Linked DNA regions of Rhinolophus ferrumequinum. The protein of the gene in region 3 interacts with the protein of the main gene of each other region in a pairwise test. Links are inferred from orthologs where the notes say so. Each region holds a gene or a part of one and is shown on either strand. Other genes may lie near its edges.

The links. The genes of interacting proteins can lie anywhere in the genome.
Region 1: the proteins of FSD2 (region 3) and FMR1 interact in binary tests that used the Homo sapiens proteins (3 or more experiments, as listed by UniProt). The link is inferred for Rhinolophus ferrumequinum from reciprocal best matches to the Homo sapiens genes FSD2 and FMR1.
Region 2: the proteins of FSD2 (region 3) and CDC73 interact in binary tests that used the Homo sapiens proteins (3 or more experiments, as listed by UniProt). The two-hybrid records come from large-scale screens. The link is inferred for Rhinolophus ferrumequinum from reciprocal best matches to the Homo sapiens genes FSD2 and CDC73.

What each region holds. Positions count from the first base shown.
Region 1 is NC_046284.1:10,596,250-10,603,509, reverse strand, and holds the start of FMR1 (fragile X messenger ribonucleoprotein 1), read left to right. Parts: upstream 1-4,159; 5' UTR 4,160-4,402; coding exon 4,403-4,453; intron 4,454-7,260.
Region 2 is NC_046310.1:4,969,064-4,976,826, forward strand, and holds the start of CDC73 (parafibromin), read right to left. Parts: upstream 3,102-7,763; 5' UTR 2,854-3,101; coding exon 2,723-2,853; intron 279-2,722; coding exon 173-278; intron 1-172.
Region 3 is NC_046311.1:2,941,460-2,948,785, reverse strand, and holds the start of FSD2 (fibronectin type III and SPRY domain-containing protein 2), read right to left. Parts: upstream 3,027-7,326; 5' UTR 2,891-3,026; intron 2,889-2,890; exon of another isoform or gene 2,777-2,888; intron 2,438-2,776; 5' UTR 2,243-2,437; intron 668-2,242; 5' UTR 478-667; intron 1-477. Other genes in the region: WHAMM (WASP homolog-associated protein with actin, membranes and microtubules), read left to right, coding at 3,127-3,735, 4,688-4,861, 6,576-6,726.

The DNA of each region.
Region 1 (7,260 bases), on a different chromosome or scaffold from region 3:
AAGGCAAATGTGCAGACAGTACAAAGTCAGTGGTTGCCAGGGATGAGGGGGTAGAGCTAATGACTAAATCGGTGGAACACAGAGGATTTTTAGGGTGATGGAACGATGCTGTATGACCCTATAACGGTGGATGCATGACATCATGCATTTGTCCAAACCTATATAGTGTACAACACAAAGAGTGAAACTTAATGTAAACTATGGACTTTACCGTGTTTCCCTGAAAATAAGCCCTCACTGAAAAATAAGCCCCAATATGATTTTTCAGGATGACATCCCCTGAACATAAGCCCTACTGTGTCTTTTGGAGCAAACCTTAATATAAGACCTGGTCTTATTTTTGGAAAAACACGGTAGTTAATAACAGTGTATCGATGTTGGCTCCCCAATGATACAAAACACAGCACAGTAATGCAAGACATTAGTAACAGAGGAAGCTCAGAGGGAGGTATCATGGAACTGTTATGGGAACGCTAAACTAGCTTTTCAATTTTCCTGTAAATCTAAAACATAAAGACAATTTTTTTTTCTAACAGCTAGTTCAAAGGAGAAATCAAAGTGCGGTGAAACTGTCAGAAAAGGTGTCATGAAAGAAGTGAAGCCTTAGCTGGGTCCTAGAGGGTACATAGGATTTCTAGAGTTAGAAAGGACAGGGCATTTCAGCTGGCATTGAGGCATGAAAAAGACTCAGAGGGCTCAACTTGCAAAGGAGCAGGAAACAACACAGAAGAAATCAATGCAAAGACAGGCAGGGATTTAATGGAAGCTAGGGGCCAAGGCAAGGCCTTGAGCCTCCAAGTGCTGAAGCAGAAATAGAGGCGTGGCAGCAGACTTGACCCAAGCTGGATCCTCAACATATATTCATTCAATAAATATTGAGTGGGCACCTACTGGGTTCCAAACATGGTAGGAGGCACCAGGGACAAGTAGTGAAAGAAAGAAAGAAAAATCTCTGAGCTCCAGTCCTAGTGACAGGAGACAGAACCTGCCTGGTGGTTTTGTGTTTTCAAGAAACAGCAAAGAAGCCAGAATGCCTGGAATGGAATGAAGGAGGGAGGGAAAAGGTGAGATAAAGGAGATAATAGAGGTCGGAGTGTGTAGGGCAGGGAGGCCAGAATAAATAAGGATTTTGACTTTTACCCTAAGGCCTTTAGCGAACAAGTGGAGGGTTTTGAGTGGCAGAGTGACTTGACTGACACCTGAATAGGGTCACCCTCTCTTCTGCCTTGAGAATAATGGATAAGAGTGGCTGCGGGGAGACCAGACAAGTTGGTGTCATAATACATGTAAGAGAAGATGGTCGCTCATGCCATGGTTTTAGCAGTGCAACCGGTGAGCAATAATAGAGTGTGGACTCCGAAAGTATTTGCTGATAGATTCGATGTGCGAGAGAAAGAGAGGGTCAGAGTGAGTCAGTTTTAGGCCTGAGCAACTAACTCGAGGACGGGGTTGCCAGTGATTGAGAGAGAGTAGGGGAGGAGCAGACTCACAAGCAGGCTTGAGCCCATGTTTGAATTCAGCTGAGCTGTCTTGAAAGGGGCCATTTCAAGAGCTAGAGGTCAGAGCAAGGCTGAGGCTGAGGCTGAAACCCGAATTTAAGCGGACAAGACTAAGTCACAGTACATCCTGGGAGGAAGGATAGGCATGTTGATTCAGTGAAGATTTCCTAAAACTCAACCACTTTGTATGTGCCAGAGACGCAAAGGTAAGAAAGACATCTTTCCTGAATGGAAGGAACTCACAGTCCAAGGAGGGAAAAGGAAGTACAAGTAAATGATTCTAGTACATTAGGCATCATAGTCCAGCTATTCAACACTTACTGAAGCCCTGCTCTATGCCAAGCGGTATGGTGAAGAAGCAGGGGCTGTGAATAAAGTTCTATAAGAGCACAAAATAAATTCTTGCAAAGGATCGCAAAGACATGCACAAGGGTTTTCACCAGCGTAACATCAGGCAGTTGGCAGTAACCTAGACACCCATCGCTAGGGAAATGTATCAGTAAAATCGATGGAATACTCAGCAGCAGTTGGAAGCCAAAATACAGGTGTACGTGCAGCAATATGGGTTAGCTTAAGAATGTGGTGTTAAGTGCAAACAGCGGGAAACAGATGTATGGTCCAATACCATCTCTAATTGTAAAAGGCATACACAAAACACTACATGTCTTAAATTATCAAGGATCTATAGCAAACATACTGTAGTTAGTGTCTAGAAAAAGAGTGTGCATGGGGATTGAGAAAGTCAAGGAAAAATAAATATAAAATAATATAGTTAAGGGAGGGGTCTTGCAGGGACTGACGGTGACAACGTGCTGAGAATTGAGGAGCAAAGTTAATTCAACATGGCATCTAGGGTAAAATAACTATCTAATAGGAATCCAGCTGATAACCCTCAGGAGAAGGGAATTTCTGGGGGGCAGGCAGAGTGTGAAGAGACCGAAGGCATGAAAGTGCATCGGAGGTTCAGGGAATGGCATCCGGTTGAGTGCGCCTTGTCCTGGTCGTGAGGAGCGATGATATTTGAAAGCCCTGGGTACAGTGAACGACAGCCTACACGTGGAAGGTATTATGGTTCTCATCAATCCCCTTCTATTCCATGGGGGTTAAAGATCACGCTGTGCTCCCAGCCAGCCTATGGTGAGATTTTCTTTCAGCTCTATTGGGGTCTTCACATCTTGTGACTACTCCAGAAACCGGAGTCCAGTGGGGCATTCCTGTTTACGGTGGCCTCAAGGAATGTGACCCTTGGTCCGCTGCTTTAAAGCTGGAGCTCCCCCAGCAGTTAACACTGCTGCTCTGGCTAGGAACGGGGTGGGAAGGGAACTGGAGGCCCAAGGATGCCTCTCGTTCTGGGGCACCAGCCTGGGGCAGTTCACCCCGCCTCCACCAACTCAGTGCTGTCAGTGAACTCTCACTGGTCACATTCCAACCGGAGTCACTTCCCAGCTCTGACCAGCCCTCCCCAACCCCAGACTGGGCCCTGTCTCACTGTCATAGGTGTACCTATGCTGCATAGCCCTTATCACAGTTGCAACTCCATATGAACTCTTCTGATCGTTTGCTTTATGTCCAGCTAGGCCTCGGGGGTCCAAGTTCAATGCTGACAGTCTGTTTCCTTGTTTTCTTCACCAAGGTCTCACTAGCACTTAGCCCAGTGCCTGGCAGTAGGATGGGCTCAAGCAACTTCTCCGTTGGATACAAGCCTTCAAAATGAAACCTAGGTCAAGGTGGATACAGCAGGCTGCAGAGGCAAGGATGAGAACGAGTTGGGGTTTGCTCTTCTGTGGAGGGTGAAGGGTGAGGGCTGCAAGGAAACAGGTGCCTGAGCCCCTGTCGATGTACGTGACTGCCATCCACACGCCCATTACACCCTCTGGTGCAGGGTAGGCGTAAGTGAAATAGTAGGGAAACTAAGTAACTAAATTAACAAGTGTGTAACACATTTTTTACATATGTCAAGTAAAGCTATGAAACTGAATGGAGGGAAGGGAAGCGCATGGATCAGTGCTGGCTCTGAGGCAGGACTAACGTTTCCAGAGGTCCGGACACAATTGCATCGCCTCTCGGAGGACACAGGATGTATCCACAGGAAAGCCCAAAATGTCTTGGGGGAGGGAGCGGCGTTACTCTCACCTTCTGCCTCTAAGGGTCACACAGGCCGGGGTCGCAGTGGTTGCCACTGTTACTAGTTCAAAGTCTTGTCTTCTTCAATCTAATTCTTCACCTTTATTCTTGTGCCCCACTCCAGCTCCACCTCAACCAGGCTCTGCCCCACTTAAACAGAAACAAACCAAAACAAAAACCCTCCACACCCAGCCAGCCAGGACTCAGATAAATGAATGCACTTGATCTTTACGGGAGGCCCTTTCCCACGCCTCCCCTTGCAGGTCTACAGGGATGGGCACTCTAGCCCTCGCCTGGCGACACCAGGCGGCCTGACCTCCGCCAGCAGGTACGACCTGTCGCCGCCCTTCCCGCCTTCCCGCCCTCCTCTAAGTCTGCGCACGCCAAGCCCGCGCGCCTTACGTTGGGCCCGGCCCCTCAGCCGAGTAGGAGCTGCGCGCATGCGTGCGCTCCAGGGCCCGCGCGGAGGGAGAGAGGGCGGGGCCGAGGGGCCGAACCCGCGGGGGGAGGGGCGGCGTCGGTCACGTGATGCGGTTTCACTGTTTACACGCGGAGCGGCTGGAGCGTTCGGCCTCAGTCAGGCGCTCGGCTCCGTTTCGGTTTCACTTCCGGTGAAGGGCCGCCTCGGAGCGGGCGTTGAGCCGACGGCGAGCGCAGGCGGAGGCAGTGACCGCGGCGCCGCTACCGGGGGGCGTGCGGTAGCGCGGCGGCTGGGCCTCGAGCGCCCGCAGCCCACCTCTCGGGGGCGGGCTCCCGGCGCCAGCAGGGCTGTCGAGAAGATGGAGGAGCTGGTGGTAGAAGTGCGGGGCTCCAATGGCGCTTTCTACAAGGTACTTGGCTCCAGGGCCGGCCCCATCTTCGCCCTTCTTTCCCTCCCTTTTCTTCTCGGCCTCGTAGGGAGGCAGGCCTGGGGCCCTCTTCCCGAGCGCCGCGCCCGGGGTCCAGGGCGCGCTAGGTGGGATGTTGTTGGGGAGGGAAGGACCGGACTTGGGGCCTGTAGAAAGCCCCTCGAGCTCCGCTGCCTCTCCTACAAGAGGCCCTGGCGCCTGTCGGAATGAGAAGCGGCAAGGAGGCGAGGGTGCCCTTTCGGGGGACGATCCCTGCCAGGCAGAGCTGGGGGTGGGCAAGGGCCGGCGGCAGGTACGCGATCGAGATCCCGGCGGGAAGGGCCGGTATCCGCGCGAAGTGACGGCAACGGCTTATTTCTCTTTTCCTAAATATTCTCTCCCAGTGGGTTCCGGGCCTGACGTGTGGGTAGTTGCCGAAGAGCGGGGGGCGCTTCCGTCGAGCCGCCTCCTGCCTTGCACAGAGGGTTTGAGATCTCCTTTGGCTTCTGTTTTCCGGTCCAGCATTGGGACTTCGGAGAGCTCCACTGTTCTGGGCAAGGGGTTTGAAGAAAGAGGAGTAAGAAGCTGTAGTCAGTACCAAATCACAATGGCAACTGATTTTTAGTGCCCTCTCTTTGTGGATTTCAGAAGAGATTTTTAGATCCCAAACTTTTCGGAAGATACTTATCCGACTAATGCATTAAAGAAGTTGGCAGTCTTCAATGTTCTCGGCCCCCTCCCTTGTTACAAATGTGGACAAATTCAGGAATACAGATGCTTCAGCATCTAAAATCATTAGCAACTCTGCTACTTAAAAAACAAAATTTTAACCCTCCAAAGACCTGCATACATGCTATCAAACTTCAGGAAATTAACTAAATGTTATTACTAGGGAATTTTTTAAAGTGAGTGGAAACAATTGTTTTGTGCTGTAAGTACTTGACTGTCTTCCCTGAATGTGCAGTGTTGCAGTGGATTGTATTGTGGGGGTTTTAAATAGGCATACATGGTTTACTGTGGGTTTTTCTTTTTTAAGTTACACCTATGCAGATCACTAATATATTACATTTTTAGAAGGAGAATTAAAAATATTTTGACCTATCAGCAGTGCGTCTTGGTACATACCATAGATCTGCTAATCTATAAATTCCCATTTCCTCTTCAATGTCCCTCTATAACTTCAGCAAGTATTATCTCACTTTACTACAGTCTTTTCTCAATAGAAGATGCATATGAAAGGAAGCATGGAAATTAGCTATTGCCATTGTCCAACACGATTCTTACCATTATTACGGGATCACTTAAACGTTTCAGATGAGACCCCCTTTCGCTAAAGGAAAGTAACAAAAATTGACTTACTAACTATGTGTTTACCAATTTTTTGGAAGTATTTGCAAATTAATATATTTCGTAAGTGAGTGAAGCATGTACATGTAAACTGTACCATACATTTAGCAAAAAGATAAAACCTTTCACTGTAAAAGGAGGAGGAAATAATCCAACATTTATGTTCTTAACACTCTCACCAATATAAAATTGTTCCAGGGGACTGGGCAGTCAAAATTTTGGTTGCGTTTATTTCAGTGATTCATAATTTCTGCTGGTTAAGTTTGTGTAGAATTATTCTGGTTCCAAGACTGGTAGTTTTGCTCACTAGATTTGTGACACTATTAATAAATATGAATGGGGCTAATGTTTGAACAGTATCCTAATCTATGACCTTAGTTTAGATCGCATGCCACTATGTATCTTTTAGTGGAGTTTGCTTGCTATAGAGTAGCAAGTAGCACAGCTCGATCTGAAGGATGTATTGTTCTCCAGCAACCTATGTTTGCTCGCATGATTTTGCTTGCAAACTCATTAGAAGATAACAAATGCCCTCTATCTTTGCCAGTAGTCCTCCCTTTTTGTTTTTTAACAAAGTTGCTTAATGTAAAGGTGAATAAAAAAATGGGTTGTCCTGTAGTTCCTTGGGGCTGGGGGGAAGTGAAACTTGAACAAATGTGCTTAAAGAAATTGCTGTTATGTTTATTTAATTCGGTTTGTTTTTAAGAAAATCTCAAATGGTCTGTATTGGTGGAAAAATAGTTTCTATAATGAAGAAGGATTAAAATTTTATAAGACTCAAAATATTGCTGAGTTGCAAAAGTAAACTGAGTTGCTTGTCCAGTGAGATGGGTAGAAAGGATGAGAAATAAAGACCAATAAAAAAAATGAACTGTTATGAAGAAATGTTACATTTATGAAAAAAAGGAACTTGGTTCCTCAAATTGATAGAAAAGCCTTTAAAAACTAAACAACTCAAACGACTTCAGTATAATTGAATTCAGACTTTGATTTGCCTGACAGAACCGCCATATTGCAAAGGACTATTCTCCATCTTCTGAACACATGGCCACCCTTGCAATATACACTGGATAGAGTATATGCTGGGAACAGTTGGATTGTTTCTCTAAAAAATAACTCAAACTCAGGATTCAGAATTAACAGAACCATGAAACCTGAACCCTAAGAGTTTAACAACTCATTTCTATTTTTCCCTCTGGTGTTTATTCTTTAAAACTTGTAAGTTAAATTTAGTAATTGTCAGAGCCACTACTATTATACTTAAGTATTTCTTTGACTTGGAAAAAGGTAGTCACGTGTACAACTTATAGAGCCTTATGTTATTTAAGACATGAAGACACTGGAATTATACCCCACAAAATCTTTACAAAACATTTCCTAAACAAATGCTGTTAAAGCAAGGTCTTTCTTCTTAGGGCCATCTGCCTAAAATAGTATAGTAGGCTTTTGTTTGTTTGTTTTTG
Region 2 (7,763 bases), on a different chromosome or scaffold from region 3:
TTTACATGCAAAATAATCCGCATAAACCACAATAATCTAATCACAACCCTCCAGGAAACTTTCATACAAATCTTTCATGCTTTTCATCGGAAATCCATGAGGGACATCATCCATGTCAAATGCTACCTACCATCAATTAAATCAATAAAGTTTTAAAATAAATTCTACTTACGGCTGCACGTCGGACATAAACAGGATGAGAAAGATGCACATTATTAAGTAAAAATAAAATAGAATCCAATGTGTAGTACTCTCTGGGCTGGCCTTCTTTTCCAGTCCTGAAAGAATCATGGCAAGAGTTTTACTCACAATTCTATTTCAACTCGTAGGGCTTACTTATGTGTCTTAATTTACCTACACCCACTTTGCTATCCAACAATAGAATGGAATTAAGATGGCTAACAAAAATACAAAGTATGAAATCTAGAAAGTGGAATCGTCGTTAGGTTAGGTAGGGCAAAAGGAACACAAAGGTAGACAATGGCAAAAAGCAAGAAGGAAAGCACACACATTCCTACTCTAAGACATTATATATACTTTTTAATATTTGGCCCAAATTAGGTTCTGGACTTTGTCAATAGAGAAACCTAATCGGTAACACACTAGAGAGGATTCATAGAAAAATAGACTGAAAAGAAGAAAAGAAGCACAACTGTTACTGGTGCTAAACTTACAAGAAATTTATCCTATGTCTACGTCTCCTAAGTAATGAACACAACAATTAATTTCTGAGGTATAAGTCTTAATCACATGCTTCAAATTAAACCAATGACCCAAAACCAAAATGAATTCTACCTGCGATAAAACAACGTAGTCTAGGGGTGCAAGATACTTACCACAGGAACGTACTACTACTTGCTCAACAAACATTAGTGTCCAACCCCACCCCTCCTACAACCTTCTCCCCGTCTAGAAATGTCCAAGCATTTGAATTCACTTGAACATGGCCCAGTGTAATCAGCCCCAAACCTCATTGTCCAGCCTCTATTTCCACTTGTCCTCTAAATCTATGTATTTCAAACCACACACCACTGTCAATTATTGCACTATGAAATCTAAAATATGGGTAACAACCAGGGGTTTTTTATGATATAGAAAAGCAAAATAACAAACAGAATGTACTGTATGCGATAAAGTATTGTTCAATGTCATGAACGTGTACAGATTTACATACGCACCCAAACATTAATAATGAAAGAAGACATATTTATTGGTGTGATTCACTGCTGTAAAAGTTTGAAATCTACTGTTCTAAGCACTCCTTTTTCACTAAATTGCTCTCAAAACATTTCCTTTCCAGCATGCGTGCCTTTTAATACAGTTCTCTTGTCTTTAAAGACCTAATCCACCATTTCACCTCAGAATTCCTACCCATTCTTTAAAGCTTATTTACCTGTTCATTCATTTATGCAAGAAAAATCGGTCGCATGTCTACATGCCAAATATACGTCCATGAAAACTTTCCCGATACCCCAAGCTAGAAGGGGTATTGGGGGTCTTGTCCTAAGACCTAGAGCAGGTTTCATCTCCTCTTTTCTGATTAGCTGACCCTCCTTTGAGGCAGGGACCAGCGTCCTAAGAAGTTTCCATTTCTCAGGTTGGACTGCCCAACACCCTGAGTACTCCTGAACCACTGAAGGAAAAAAAAAATACACAGTTAAAACTCCAGTTTAAAAGTGTAATCCAGTCTGCAAATCCTTCTGAATGGACAAAACAGGAAAATCGGAATGATGTCATTTTTAACATTCCATAAAGCTAATTAAATCCCAAGCCCTCAAGCCAGAAAAACAAAAAACAAAGAACAACCAACCACCTGAATTTCCCCTAGTTTTTCTTCAACCCTTCATAAAGCGCACTACTTCCATGCAATCAAACAAAAAGAGTATGGACGTTCTGGCCCAAGGTCCTATGTATCCCCACAAAACACCACCAATGAGAGACCCATCACTAAAAAGGCCCAAACGATGATCAGACCTCTGGCTCGATGTTTTCTTAATGACTTAAATTCAGGGCACCGCACGTGGATCAAGGTCCCCAAACATTTCTCTTGAAAACACATTTCCCCAAATCACAGACCCCATCCATTTCTAACTCAGACCTGCAAACCTCACTCTATCTCCCCAGCGGCTTCGTCCCTGAGGAAACTCCTGCCTTCACTTCCAACGTATTTGGATCACTCGTCCAAAGGGACCAAACCTCTTTCCCGTCCTAACTCCACAGAGTTGGTGCCCTTCTATCTTCTCGAGGGAATCGCAAAAGGAGAAGAAACAGACCAGGAGCTGCAAGGGTCAGCGGAGCTAGTTAGCAACACAGGGCAGCCTTGGCCAGAGAAAGAGACAAAACAAAAAACAAAACAAAACAAACAACAAAAAAAACCCTCAAGAACAAAAAGACACGTCTCCGGGGACGGACGGGACGCTCCTCCTTCACGCACCTATACGCGGTGCTAGCCCTCCGTCCACATCGCGACAAACGAACCGGGCGACTCACAAACTGCCCCAGGACCTTTCCCTTCAGCTCCCCCAAGACTTCATGGGATGGACCACTCCAGACGCAGCTCCCACCTCTCCCTCCTCACCTACAAGTGTAACTTCCACTCCAGAGAGAAACTTTTCCCCGAGCCCCCGTTTTCCCCATCCCCGAAGGGACCGGGGGGAGGGGCCGGGAAAGAGGTCGCCTGGGGGCGCCCGACTCTGCCCGGCCACAGCCCTGCCGGACTCACCCCCAAACTACATAGTTGGTCTTCACATTCTTGGGCCAGGAGAACTCGCCGAAGATCACTTCGTCTCCCTTCACCACAATCTCCTTCTTCTGGATGTTGTACTGTCGCAGGACACTGAGCACGTCCGCCATCTTCACCCCCCTCTCCGCCGCCGGCCCCGGACGCCGCCGCCGCCGCCGCCGCGCCTGCCTCCTTCTTCCCCTGTCGCCTGGTTCTCCTCCTCCTCCGCTGCCGCCGTCGCCGCCGCCGCGAACCAACTGCAGCCGCACTCGCAGCCGTCCTCGCCTACGCCAGCAGCAGGGGCAGTAGCCACCCAGGCCGCCGAGGACCCCGCGCTAGGAAGCAAGGCCCCACCGCAGGCTGCCCGCGGAGATCGCCTGACTGCGTGCCTCCCGCGCTGCGCGGCCGCCGCCAGGGGGCGTCGCCACCGCCCAGGAAAACGCCCCTCCCAGACTCCCAGCCGGCCCGGGCCCGACTCCCGGCCCGCACCTCGGAGCGCAGGGACGCGGCCACCACGTACGACGCACGTACGGGAAACATCGCCGGGCGCAGGCGCGCGGAGCAAGTGCTTCATCCCCCGCCCCGCCGCCCCTCCCACCGCTGCCTGGGGCTCCGCGAGCGACAGGTGCGCGCGCACCTGCGTAGAGGTTCCGCGCTTCCTTTCCTGGAGCGCGCGCGGAGGGACCCGTCGCCCGTTTTGAGTGCGGCCGAAAGCTCGCCGTCCCTGCTTTGGGGATGGAACTTGGCAAAAGGTTTGCAGGACGCTAGGATTACCTTCCCACCTAGGTCGAACCAGGCCTAGCGAATGGCCTCTGGAAGAGCGAGGTTTCGGGTTGTTTTTGGTGTGAGGCTGATTAGCATCTTGGAAAAGACCGAGTCCAGCGGAGAGCAATCCCGGACTTGGTCAAGCTATGTACCTTCTCACAGCATCAATTGGGTCTTGGAGAACATGGAGTTCGTATGAGAATTAGGTGAAAGGGTCCAGCAAATCATCAAAATGTCATAAATGTGGGCCCTTCCCCTTCAATTCCTTACATGGTGACTTTTTCCGTCCTGCGTCCTGTTTCTCCCCCACAGGCACCAAAGGGCTACATTTAAATGGTTCTGTTCCAATATGCCAATAGGAAATTTAGAGAACTCGAACCCCAAACTGTCTGAATCAGAACACTTTTGGATTACTTTTTTTTTTTTTTTTTGGCATCCATAAGGCTCCAGGGTATCCTTGCTGTCCTGGAAACAGTGCTATAAATTCAATATACAACAGGTGTAATGCAGGGACCCTGGTCCCGCTCCCTGCACGAGAACGCAGGACATGGTGAGGCCAAAATGGAACACCAATGGAGCCATAGAGAGGGGAGTCATCCCACTATATTCTTGCTGGCGGCTGGGTTGGAGACACAGGAAGCAGGAGCCACACGATCTGCAACCTGCCGTCCGCTTCTCTGCCAACCAGCCCACCCGCTTGCCAGCGTAGCCATGGCAGTTATATCGGTGGCTAATGGCTAACTGGTTACAGCCAATGGCCAACCAGTCACAGCTGATGACCATCTACTACCCGAGCCACCACCTTTCCACGCGAGGCTGAGAGCCTGGAAACTGCTCTCTGGGACTCTGTCCCCACAGCAGGTCCTCAACTTTTTTTTTCAACGTTGTTTTCTTACAATGTTGATGAGAGGAAAAATAAAAAATTGGAGTCCAATCAGGCCATTGTGATATTTGCAGCTCATCCCCATGTCTGCATGAGTTTTCCCCAGGGAATCTGTCGACTCTTGTTTCCTCCCATGTCCCAAAGGTATGCTGGTGGAGTTCACTGATGAGTATACACTGTACCAGTGTGAGTGTGGGTAGATGCAAGTATGGGCCCTCTGACAGAAGACTGCCCTACCCACCGGGTCCTCAGAGTTAGCTGCAGGGATGGCTTCCACCACACACGCCCTGAACTGATATCAAGGAGTGGGGAAATGTTTGCCATACTTTTGTTCATGTTTCTTAACACAGGTATATCTCACATTTGTTACTCAGACTGGGGCAATGAAGACAAGCCAGCTATACTCTCCTGCATGTCTTTGGGCTGTGGGAGGAAGTACACACTCCGCCCGGACAGTGGCCCTCACCGAAATACATTTTTTTTCTCATCAACGTTATAACCAAAAGGCCCTGAAGGAAACGATGTCATTTGAGGACCTGCTGTATTATGGGTAGTTTCCTAAGGAGGTAATCAGAGATGGGGTTATCCTTCTATTTGGTAAGGGAATGAGAGTGACTGGGTTTAATGTTGTGGTAATGGACAGTAGTGTGCAAGGGAAATAACCGTATTTTATAGGAGGTTAGGCGGCCAGCTGAGAAGTGTGGAGTCTTTCTTGTCAATAAAAACCTCTGCGTGGTTTGGGGAACAATTAGTTTCAGCGGAGACTCTAGAACAGTCAGTGGAAGCTTTCAAATGTTTTGCCACTGTTTGTTACAGCTCTTAGATGAGATGGGTGCACTTTGGCTATTGGATCTAATGAAAGACTTAACTAAGTAATAAACCTCTGAAGAATCAGTACATGTCTTCAGACCTTTCATGAACAAAAACAAAACAGGATTTTTGAATCTAGAATCCTGGAAACAAAATATTTTGATAGACTGGCTTCTTTTTAACTTGAAAAGTATACTACAATCATTGAAAGATTTATATTAACACATTTTGTTTATGTATAATTTACCTGTCTTTTTGCATTGTTAGTTTTTTCCTACATCTTGTAAATAATGATTTCTCATAATAATTTTTTTAAAATTTGAGGAATTATGAAAAAAATCTAATTATGTTTCTTGACCTTTCATGTGTAAAGGAGCAATTCTTTTTTTCCTCAATGGCCATTTTGGGAGAGCTGATGAGCATTTAGGCATTATTCTGAATCTGGGTCCTAAACTGAGAAAAAACAAAATTAAGAGTAGTTGTTAGAGTAAACGAATATTAAGTTATAAGTATCCAAAGACAAGAAATATTTTTAGGCAATACTGTAAAAGCATAGCGAGATACAGCAATGGTATTAGAAAATAAATCTTTTCAAAAGTAGGAAGGAATTTTTTCAAAGTCATTTAAGAATATGTTAGCACTGACAATTACCAAATATTTTGGTGACATAAAGGAACCTCTACTAATTTGGGCACATAATAATTGAATTCTTCTACAGAAAACAAGACTCAAATTCTAATTTTACTCTTTTGTACATTATTCACATAACTACCTACTATATAAAATTTATGAGTATACCTTTATATGCATGTGTATTTAGGCATGAATGAATACATAAATATACAAATAATATATTTAAAGTATTTAAACTATAGCCTTAACATATACACATTAAATAAAACAATGTAGATATCATATTAAATTTAACATCTTCATAAATAATAACAACTCTTAATAAACAGAAAATTATATCGATTGTCTTCCATACAATCTTGTATTTCTCTGTAATTATTGTCACCTAATATAGTCAACCAGTCATATAAATAATCATATTAACCAAGTAACCATCTTCTTCTCCAAACAAAAGAGAATATCAGAAGACAGAAAACTATAATTGCTTAGCGATTTTGTTCTATTAATGTGCGTTTTATATTATTTTAACAATTTTGAGGTTGTAAAAATAAGCACACATATAAGGTTTGATTAAAAAATACAGTGAATGCTGCTGCCGAGTGCCATTCAACAGAAAGGCAGGGATCTCCAATAAGGGAAGCGGTGCGTGGAACCTTAGTAACAGTGTGTGACAAGTTTCAACTTGTTCGGTGCAGTCAATCAGGTGTGAGCTACGGTTGAGAGAAGGTGTGTTTTAAAGTGTGCTATAAATCATGGATCACAAACAATGTATTAACATGAAGTGGACAAACGGTTTCATCCTCCATTATGACAACGCTCCATGTCACACATTGCTGTTGGCACGGCAATTTCTGTCAAAAACATTACAGTGTGTCCTCATCCACCTTATTCACCAGATCTGGCACTATGTGACTTCTGGCTCTTCCCCAGAGTCAAAATGACCAAGAAAGGTAAACTTTTTGAATCGATTCAGGACATCGAGGCAGCCACGACTGCCAGAGGACTTCTAGCACAGCTTGAGAAAGTGGCAAGAATGATGGCATAAGTGTGTTCGAAGCAAGAGGGAGTGTTTTGAAGGGGATTAATGGCAATGTGTCTTTTACTTTAATCATTTTTTTATGTAAACATTCACCATGTTTTTGATCATACCTCATATATATATATGTGTATATATATATATATATATATCATATAACCAAGAGACATTTGTATATTTTGTTAATCCATTGCCATTGTAATAAATAACAAATTATATTTAGTAACCAATGTGGTTTTCTTATCTGCTTTTTACTTAGAAATTGTCCAAGCATCAAAAGATTAGTTATTTGTTAACTTATTCGTTTGCCTAGTCTTAAAGTTAATTAAGGATCGGTAATTTACAATTTTAGCAAGCACATTAAATTGTTATTTGTAGCACTGTAAGAATTTCAGAAAGTTGTCCCTTCAAAAAGATATCTGTTGGGCCGGCCCGGTGGCTCAGGCGGTTAGAGCTCCATGCTCCTATTGTTGGTTGGAGCACATCCTCTCAACCACAAAGGTTGCCAGTTCAATTCCTCGACTCCCGCAAGGGATGGTAGGCAGCGCCCCCTGCAACTAAAATTGAACAGGGCATCTTGAGCTGAATTGCCGCTGAGCTCCTGGATGGCTCAGTTGGTTGGAGCGTGTCCTCTCAACCACAAGGTTGCTGGTTCGACTCCGGAAAGGGATGGTGGGCTTCACCCCTTGCATCTAGCAATGGCAACTGGACCTGGAGCTGAGCTGCACCTTCTACAACTAAGACTGAAAAGACAACTTGAAGCTGAATGGCACCCTCCACAACTAAGATTGAAAGGACAACAACTTGACTTCGAAAAAAGGCCTGTTCCCCTTCCCCAATAAAATCTTTAAAAAAAAGTGAGTGACTGTGTGAAGGGTGCAGCCATTTAAAAAAAAAAAGATATCTGTTATTAC
Region 3 (7,326 bases):
GCACTTGAAGGCATAGTCCCCATTCAGTAATTAAATGTATGATTCAATATATTAATCAAAAAGTCACACTGAGTTTAGCCAGCATCAAAATCTTCTCCCCTCCCCAGCTTGGGCCTCTTGCGCTGGAAGCCTTCTCTTGGACAGGAGGAATGAGGGGCCTCTTCTCCCCACCCACACCTCCTCCCTGAGCTGCTGGTTTGGACGCTAGGGCAGCATAAGACAGCTCCCATTTGAGTTGATGTCACAGTGAGAGCTAACTGCAGGCTCTGGAGCGGATAGAGCTTAGAGCTGTCTTTCCCTCTCTCCCTCTCCCTTTCAGGAATCTGAGCTTCTGTATTTCTGGAGTTTCCCATTATGGAGCCCTTGCCCCTGAAGTTCTCACAACCAGGCTGAGAACCTCTCTATTCCGAGGGGGGGGGATCCTCCCCTAAGCCCTGGTGGGCCACCTCCAAGGTCTCTCAAAGGAGGTCTCCTCACCCACGCAGCTGGCTTTCGCAGGCAGCATCTAGGTGACTCCTTGGTGGCTTTGGCTTCCTGCTGGCCCACATCCACATCCTGGGAAGCAGGCCCCTGCAAACTCTGGGATGCAGATGTCCCAATGTGGCCACCTCCGCTGGTTCTGCCACCTAAGCAGCCAATCTTGTGCCTCAGGCCACCACTGGCCCACCTGCAGGAAAGACAGCAACCTCTCAGACAGGTCCCTCTGAAGACCCCTCACTGAGCTGGGGGTAGTGTGGGACTTCCAAACCTCCCCCAAGTCCAACAACAGCTCTCTCCAAAGAAATCGCACCACTAGTTTCCCTTCCAAACATCCTCTTTTTATTTTCTGATCCCTTATTTTCTTCATTCAGCTGAGAGCATGAATCAGGCTCTGGATCATTTCCTTTCAAAGTCTGCATATGGTGATTTGATCTCAGAATTTTATATCTGTTGTTTTTTGGGCCCTCAATTAAAACCTCATTTTTAAGATACTATTACTACAGGGCACCCAGGAAGTAAAAATTTAGAAGCAAAATAAAATGTCTAAAGCAAAAAGACTTGAAAGAAAAAATTATGCAAAGATGTGTATACAAGAATGTTCATCACAGTATTGTCTACAGAGGCCGAAAATTGAAATAAATCTATGTCCATCATGGCTAATTCACTATATTAAATCACAATATGGTCAATTCAATATTGGAAGTTATTAAGAATGATGTAGATGCCGCTTTTTTAAATGTGGAAATGCCCACAATATACTTGTAAGTAGAAAAAGAGTATGCAACATATCATTACAGTATAATCATGTATGTACGAGAACGTATGTGGGAGGGTTTATTGCTTTTGAGTTATTTTACTTTTTTTTTATATCTTTGATAGTGTCTGTTTTCATAACAATTATATGTACCTTTTAATAATTTTTAAAAATCTTCCTTTTTTATGGTAAAATAATATATGGTATTTGGCTTAGAAACAAGCAAATACTACAAAAGTGAATATAAACCAGTCGTGCATCCGGGTAACAATTATTTGGTTTGTCTATTTTCCCGTTTTTTTTTTTCTCTAAGAATTTACAAACTTATCCCCCTCTCATACACACAAATTAGAAAATTTATAATTAGAAAGTTTGCTACCTTCATTTTGAAAAAGGAAATGAATTAGAAAAACTACTAAATTAGAAAAACTACTACAAAGGATAAAATATAAAACATCCAGTTAAAAGACATGCTATAAATATTTTAAAAGGTATTTAAACAGACTACTAGAGAATTATAAGTAAATCATATTAGCTAAATATATGCAGTAAAAAATAGTCTGAGGAAAAATAAATCACTTCAGCTGAATGGTTCTCTCTCCAAGAGGGACTGAGTCAGCGAGAGCAGCTGTTCTGAGTCCAAGGCCCACAGTCCCACACAGGTATGAAACTGGGGGGGACCTTCAGACAGATGCAACTTTAGACCTAGATGCCTTGGGATCACCTTCAAGGGTGAGACATGCCTTGACCATAGTTCCAGCCGGGTCCTGTTTTGTTTTGTGGGTATTTGTTGTTGTTTTACCTTGGGCATAACAGCAAGTGCAAATCTCATTCAGGCTGTCCCAGCTCACAAACTGTGAAAAGCTCCCTCACTGGTTCCTGACTCGAGACCGCACAGCCTTGTTTTGGTGAGAGGCTCCTCGTGGCTCCCTGGGCATCTCCTCTACCCCCCACCCCCTTACCCCACTCAGGGCACTCACAGGATGGGCGCTAGCAGAAGGTACACACCTGGGCACAGAGCAGGGCTGTCTTGTTCCCCGTTGTGAACAGGTCCAGCTCCACGTTCCGCTCCATCCTCACACGGCAAACTAGATTTCCCGATTTCCTTAAACAGGTCTTCAGTAGTCAAGGGGTCTTGGTTAGCTGGAGTGTCTCTGTATCATGTGAAGTTTCTTTTCTGGGTGGGTATCAGTTTTCTTATTTCTAAAATGAAGTCAGCAGATAGGTTTTAATTAAATATGCTTTGAGGACTGTTATCTTTTTGTATGGCCCCCCTCTCCGTCCCTGCCCCGCCCCCAAACAGGCACACAGCAGACCCTCCAAAAAGCTTGTTGAATTGACAATAAATGTGTGGCTCGTAGCCAGTGCTTGCGCTTTGAAGGTCTCAATACATAACTTCTGTTTAATTTAATGTTTGCTCTCTCCAACAAGTGTGTACCTTCCTTGAGAGCAGGAACCATGAATTCACTAGGGCCCTGACGACAGAAGTTATCAGCTGGGGCCCGATTCTCAAGAGCTCACAGTAACTTGTTTCACAAATACCTTTCCCACGTCAGTAAGTACAAAGGTATTAAAGGTGAGGCAAGAGTGGGAATTCCAGGACTCCAGGGGACTTTGCGACAGTGATTGACTCCCAGGGCTGGGTCCCAGGCAGACCTTTGGCCTTTTCATTGGTTGTCGCGGACCCTCCCTCTGTCACCCGGCCAATCCCGGAAGCCTCTGGAAGCCTCCAGCGCCGGCCGCCAATCAAAAGTGCCGGAGGGGCGGTCGTGGGGCACTGACGCGATGACGGTCCAGCGAAAAATGTCGCGGCGTGGACGGTCCTGTAGCGGGGGCTGTGAGGAGGCCAGGCCCCGGCGAGCCGAGCCCTCCGGCCGCTGACCGCCGGTGCCATGGAGGACGAGCAGCCCGACAGCCTGGAGGGCTGGGTGCCGGTCCGCGAGGACCTCTTCGCCGAGCCCGAGCGGCACCAGCTGCGCTTCCTCGTGGCCTGGAACGACAAGGAGGGCAAGTTCGCGGTGACCTGTCACGACCGCACGGCGCAGCGGCGTCGGCGGCGGCGCGAGGGGAGCCGGCAGGGGTCCCCACCTGAGCCCGAGCCTGAGCCCGAGCCCGAGCCCGCGCCCCCGCCCAGCTGGGCGGGCCTGCTCTCGGCCGCCGGGCTCCAAGGCGCGCACCGGCAGCTGGCGGCGCTGTGGCCGCCGCTGGAGCGCTGCTTCCCGCCGCTGCCGCCGGAGTTGGAGGCAGGCGGCGGCGGGGCCTGGGGCCTGTGGGCGTTGGTGTGGCCCGCGCGTGCGAGCCCCGGCGAGGCGGCCCTGCAGGAGCTGTGCGTGCGGCTGGAGCGCTACCTGGGCCAGGCGGCCGACGGCTGCGGCGCCGCGGCCGTGCGTGATGCGCTCCTTCCGGCCGACGGCGGCGCGCCCGACTGCGAGAGCCCGCGCGCCTTCCGGGAGCGCGCCCTGCGCGCGCGGTGGGCCGAGGCGGGCGCGCGGCTGCAGCAGGTATGCGCGCCGGCCCCCTGCCACCTCTCCCTTTAGTGTCCGGGCCATCAGAGGGGCTCAAGGGCGAGAGTGGGGTTTTTCAACCAGGCTCGCGCTGTGGAGGAGCAAGTTCTCAGTCTGAGGTGGAGAAGGGGGCGCAGGGTCCCAGGTGTCCTTCACCTGCAGAGGGCAGCCAGGGGTATGCTGCGGGGACGCGCGGAAGGCGCAGAGAGAGAACGAGTTAGAGTAAATCGGAGCAATTGGGAGCCAGAGTGGACCTTAACTCCTTTCACTGACAATATTGGCAGAGCAGGCTGTTATATCGGAAAAGAGGCCATTCTTACTCTGGATGAGTTTTCAGTGCATTCTTTTGAGGAACAGGAGGCATAAGAGAAGAATTCAGTAGAGGGGTGGAAACAGAATAACTTAAGGATGTATTGATTGAAAAAAAAATTCTATACTATTGATTTTATTTCTCTTCTCCTGGGGATAATTCTTACCAAACGAGTTTATCATTATCACTATGAGTTGTTTATCATAAATGCTCAGTATCAGAAGTGCTTTGCAGAGACTAGAGTCACTGCTGTGACTGTAAATGAGTCTACTCTGCTGGGGGTTTCATGGCGCTATAAACCTTGGGAATTGAGGGAGTCTACGTGACGGCATACTTGGACGCAACTCTGTAACGTCCTCGTGAGATTTAAAAACGGAGTACAGCCTCGCAAAACTAGTCATCGAAAAGTGATGAAAAAGTATCATCCACAATCTACAATCCAGAGATAACCACTGTTAATATTTGATGACTTGCGCGCCCTTTTCTCTGTACGAAGTTGAGATAAAATTTTGAATTCTGCTTTCCCCCAATGTATTCAAGTTTACAACATGAGGGTTTCTTTTGTTTAGTTTTGTTCGTTTGGTGTGGTCTCCTAAATACTGTCCAAACTCGAGCCTTATTTACATTTTTGCCTTCCAGATTCTTCAAGGGCATGAAAAAGCAAGCACCATGGTAGCATTAATGGAAGTTTATCGAGAAGAAGATGAAGTGTACCAGGAATTAGTTACCATGGCAACCATGTTCTTCCAGTATTTACTGCAGCCCTTTAGAGATATGCGAGAAGTTGCGACTTCATGTAAGCTTGATATTTTGGTATGTTTGCTTTATGTCTTTATTTTATCAGATTTACTGTTTGTCACATATTACTTCTTTAGTCACATTTAAGATTCAATCTCTGCCCATTGGGTTCACCCTTAATGTTTAGATGATGTTGTAGATATGTTCATTTTATTTTTAAAAATTGATAAGAAATGAAGACGTTTTACATTGGTCATCTTCTTACTACATTAAGATTTCCACAGATTTTCAAAGGTTAAACACGTTCTTTGCTGACGATTTGTTTTTGATGTGATGCTTATTATTTTCCACCTCTAAGGACACATGCATATTTCTTAGAAATAAGATAAAATGTTAAATAGCAAGGCTCTGAATTGTAATTCGGTAATTTAAACTTTAGTAAATGCATCTAATTTCACTGAGCCATGGAACAACCCTGTGACACTAATTAAAACAGGCATTCTCATCCAGTATTAAAAATGACGCTAGAGCCCAGAGGGCTTCAATAGCTTTCCTTGGTCTCACTCCACAGTAATCAGAAGACAGAGAGATCGCTTGATCTCTGTCCCCTGCCCTGGGCCATCCTTCCCCACATGTACTCACAGCCCCCACGAGTCCACTGTACTGTAAAAATGGCATTGTGTTTAGATGAAACTCCTGCCACTCTAATCTGTGGAGAAAGTTGTTCTATTGATTATTTTGAAAGTCTTATTTGAATAATCTTTAGTTTCTGAATATATATTTTCTTTCCTTAAATAACAGTTTTATTGAGATATAATTCACAGACCATACAATTCACCAATTTAAAGTGCACAATTCAGTGGGTTTTAGTATAGTCAGAATTGTGCAACCATCACCACCATCTAATGCCAGAATATTTTCATCAGCCCAAAAAGAAACTCCATACCCATTAGCAGTCATTCCCCATTCCCCATTCCCCCGCACCCCCAGGTAACTACCAGGCTACTTTCTTGCATCTGCGGATTTCCCTATTCTGGATATTTCATGTTGTATGGACTCATACAATATGTGGTCCTTTGTGTCTGGCTCCTTTCATGTAGCATGCTTTCAAGGTCCATGCATGTTATAGTAGGTATCTGACTTTCATGTCTTTGTACTGCCAAGTATTCACTATATGGATACAGTACATTTTACTTATCCACTTAGCAGTTGATGGACATTTGGGTTGTTTCCTCTTTTTTGGCCATTATGAATAATGCTGCTATGAACATTTGTGTACACGTTTCTATGTGGACATATGTTTTCATTTCTCTTGGATATATACCTACGAGTGGAATTGCTTAGGTCATAAGGTAACTAACTCTATGCTTAAACTTTTAAACGAACTGCCAGACTGTTCTCCAAAGCAAAAGCCCAACTTGACATTCCCACCAGCAGTAAAGGAGGGTTCCAGTTTGTCCACATCATCACTAACACTTGTTATTCTGTCTTTTTGATGACAGCCATGTGAGTGGATGTGAAGGGGTACCTCACTATAGTTTGGATTTACATTTCCCTAATAGTGAACCCGGGTATATGTCTTATATTACTAGCTTTGCAGAAGAACTGGATGCTGGATGAGCTGTATTCATTCTCAGTAAGGAATTGCTGAGTTAATGAAATTTTATTGACTTAAGTAGTAGTAATAAAAGTAGTTGAAATAATCCACTTGACCAGTTTGCTTCCAATTTCCTAATGGCTGTACATTACCATTCTTTCTTCCTCAAACAATTTTCCCTTCTTTCTATAGAAATCCTTGGATGAAGATGACCTAGGTCCTAAAAGGATAGTGGCCTTGCAGAAGGAAGCCCAAGAATGGACTAGACGGGCTGAAGAAGCTATAGTCTCTATTCAGGATATTACTGTGAATTATTTTAGAGAAACAGTGAAAGCATTAGCAGGTAATAATTTAAAATACTGCAGCACTAAGGTACATGTAATTTTCATTTTATTCAAAAATCATTTGACTGTCTCTTTAGTACCAGGCACTAACTAGGTCCTGGGGATTCAGTGTAAAGATAATCAGAAACAGACACTGTCCAGTCTGTTGAGGGGAGATAATCTTCGTTACACATTCACACAAACACACAGGGAAATGGCAGTGGCAACAAGCCCCATGAGAAGAGAAACACGGGGCTCTGAGAGCCTGAGAGAGAAATGAGGCTCCATCAGAGTGGCCCCTGAGAAGTGGCATTTGCCCTGATGTCTGAAGCGTAAATAGAAGTTGAGAGAGCAAGAAGGTGAGGGAAGAGTGTTCCAGGCAGAACGAATAGCATTTACAGAGCCCTCTGGCTTGAGGGAGCTTGGCAAATGTGAGAAACTTAGAGAAAGGCGCAGGACTGGAGCAGAGTGTAGAGAATCGGGCGGGGGTGACGGGGGCAGTGCAGGCAAGACAGGAGGACGAGATGGGGGCGCCGTGTGGGCTGGGGGAAGGAAGTTTATCGTGTCTCGAATCATTGTCCATGGCAGTTACGAAGATGAAACAACTTCTTGTCTGTCAA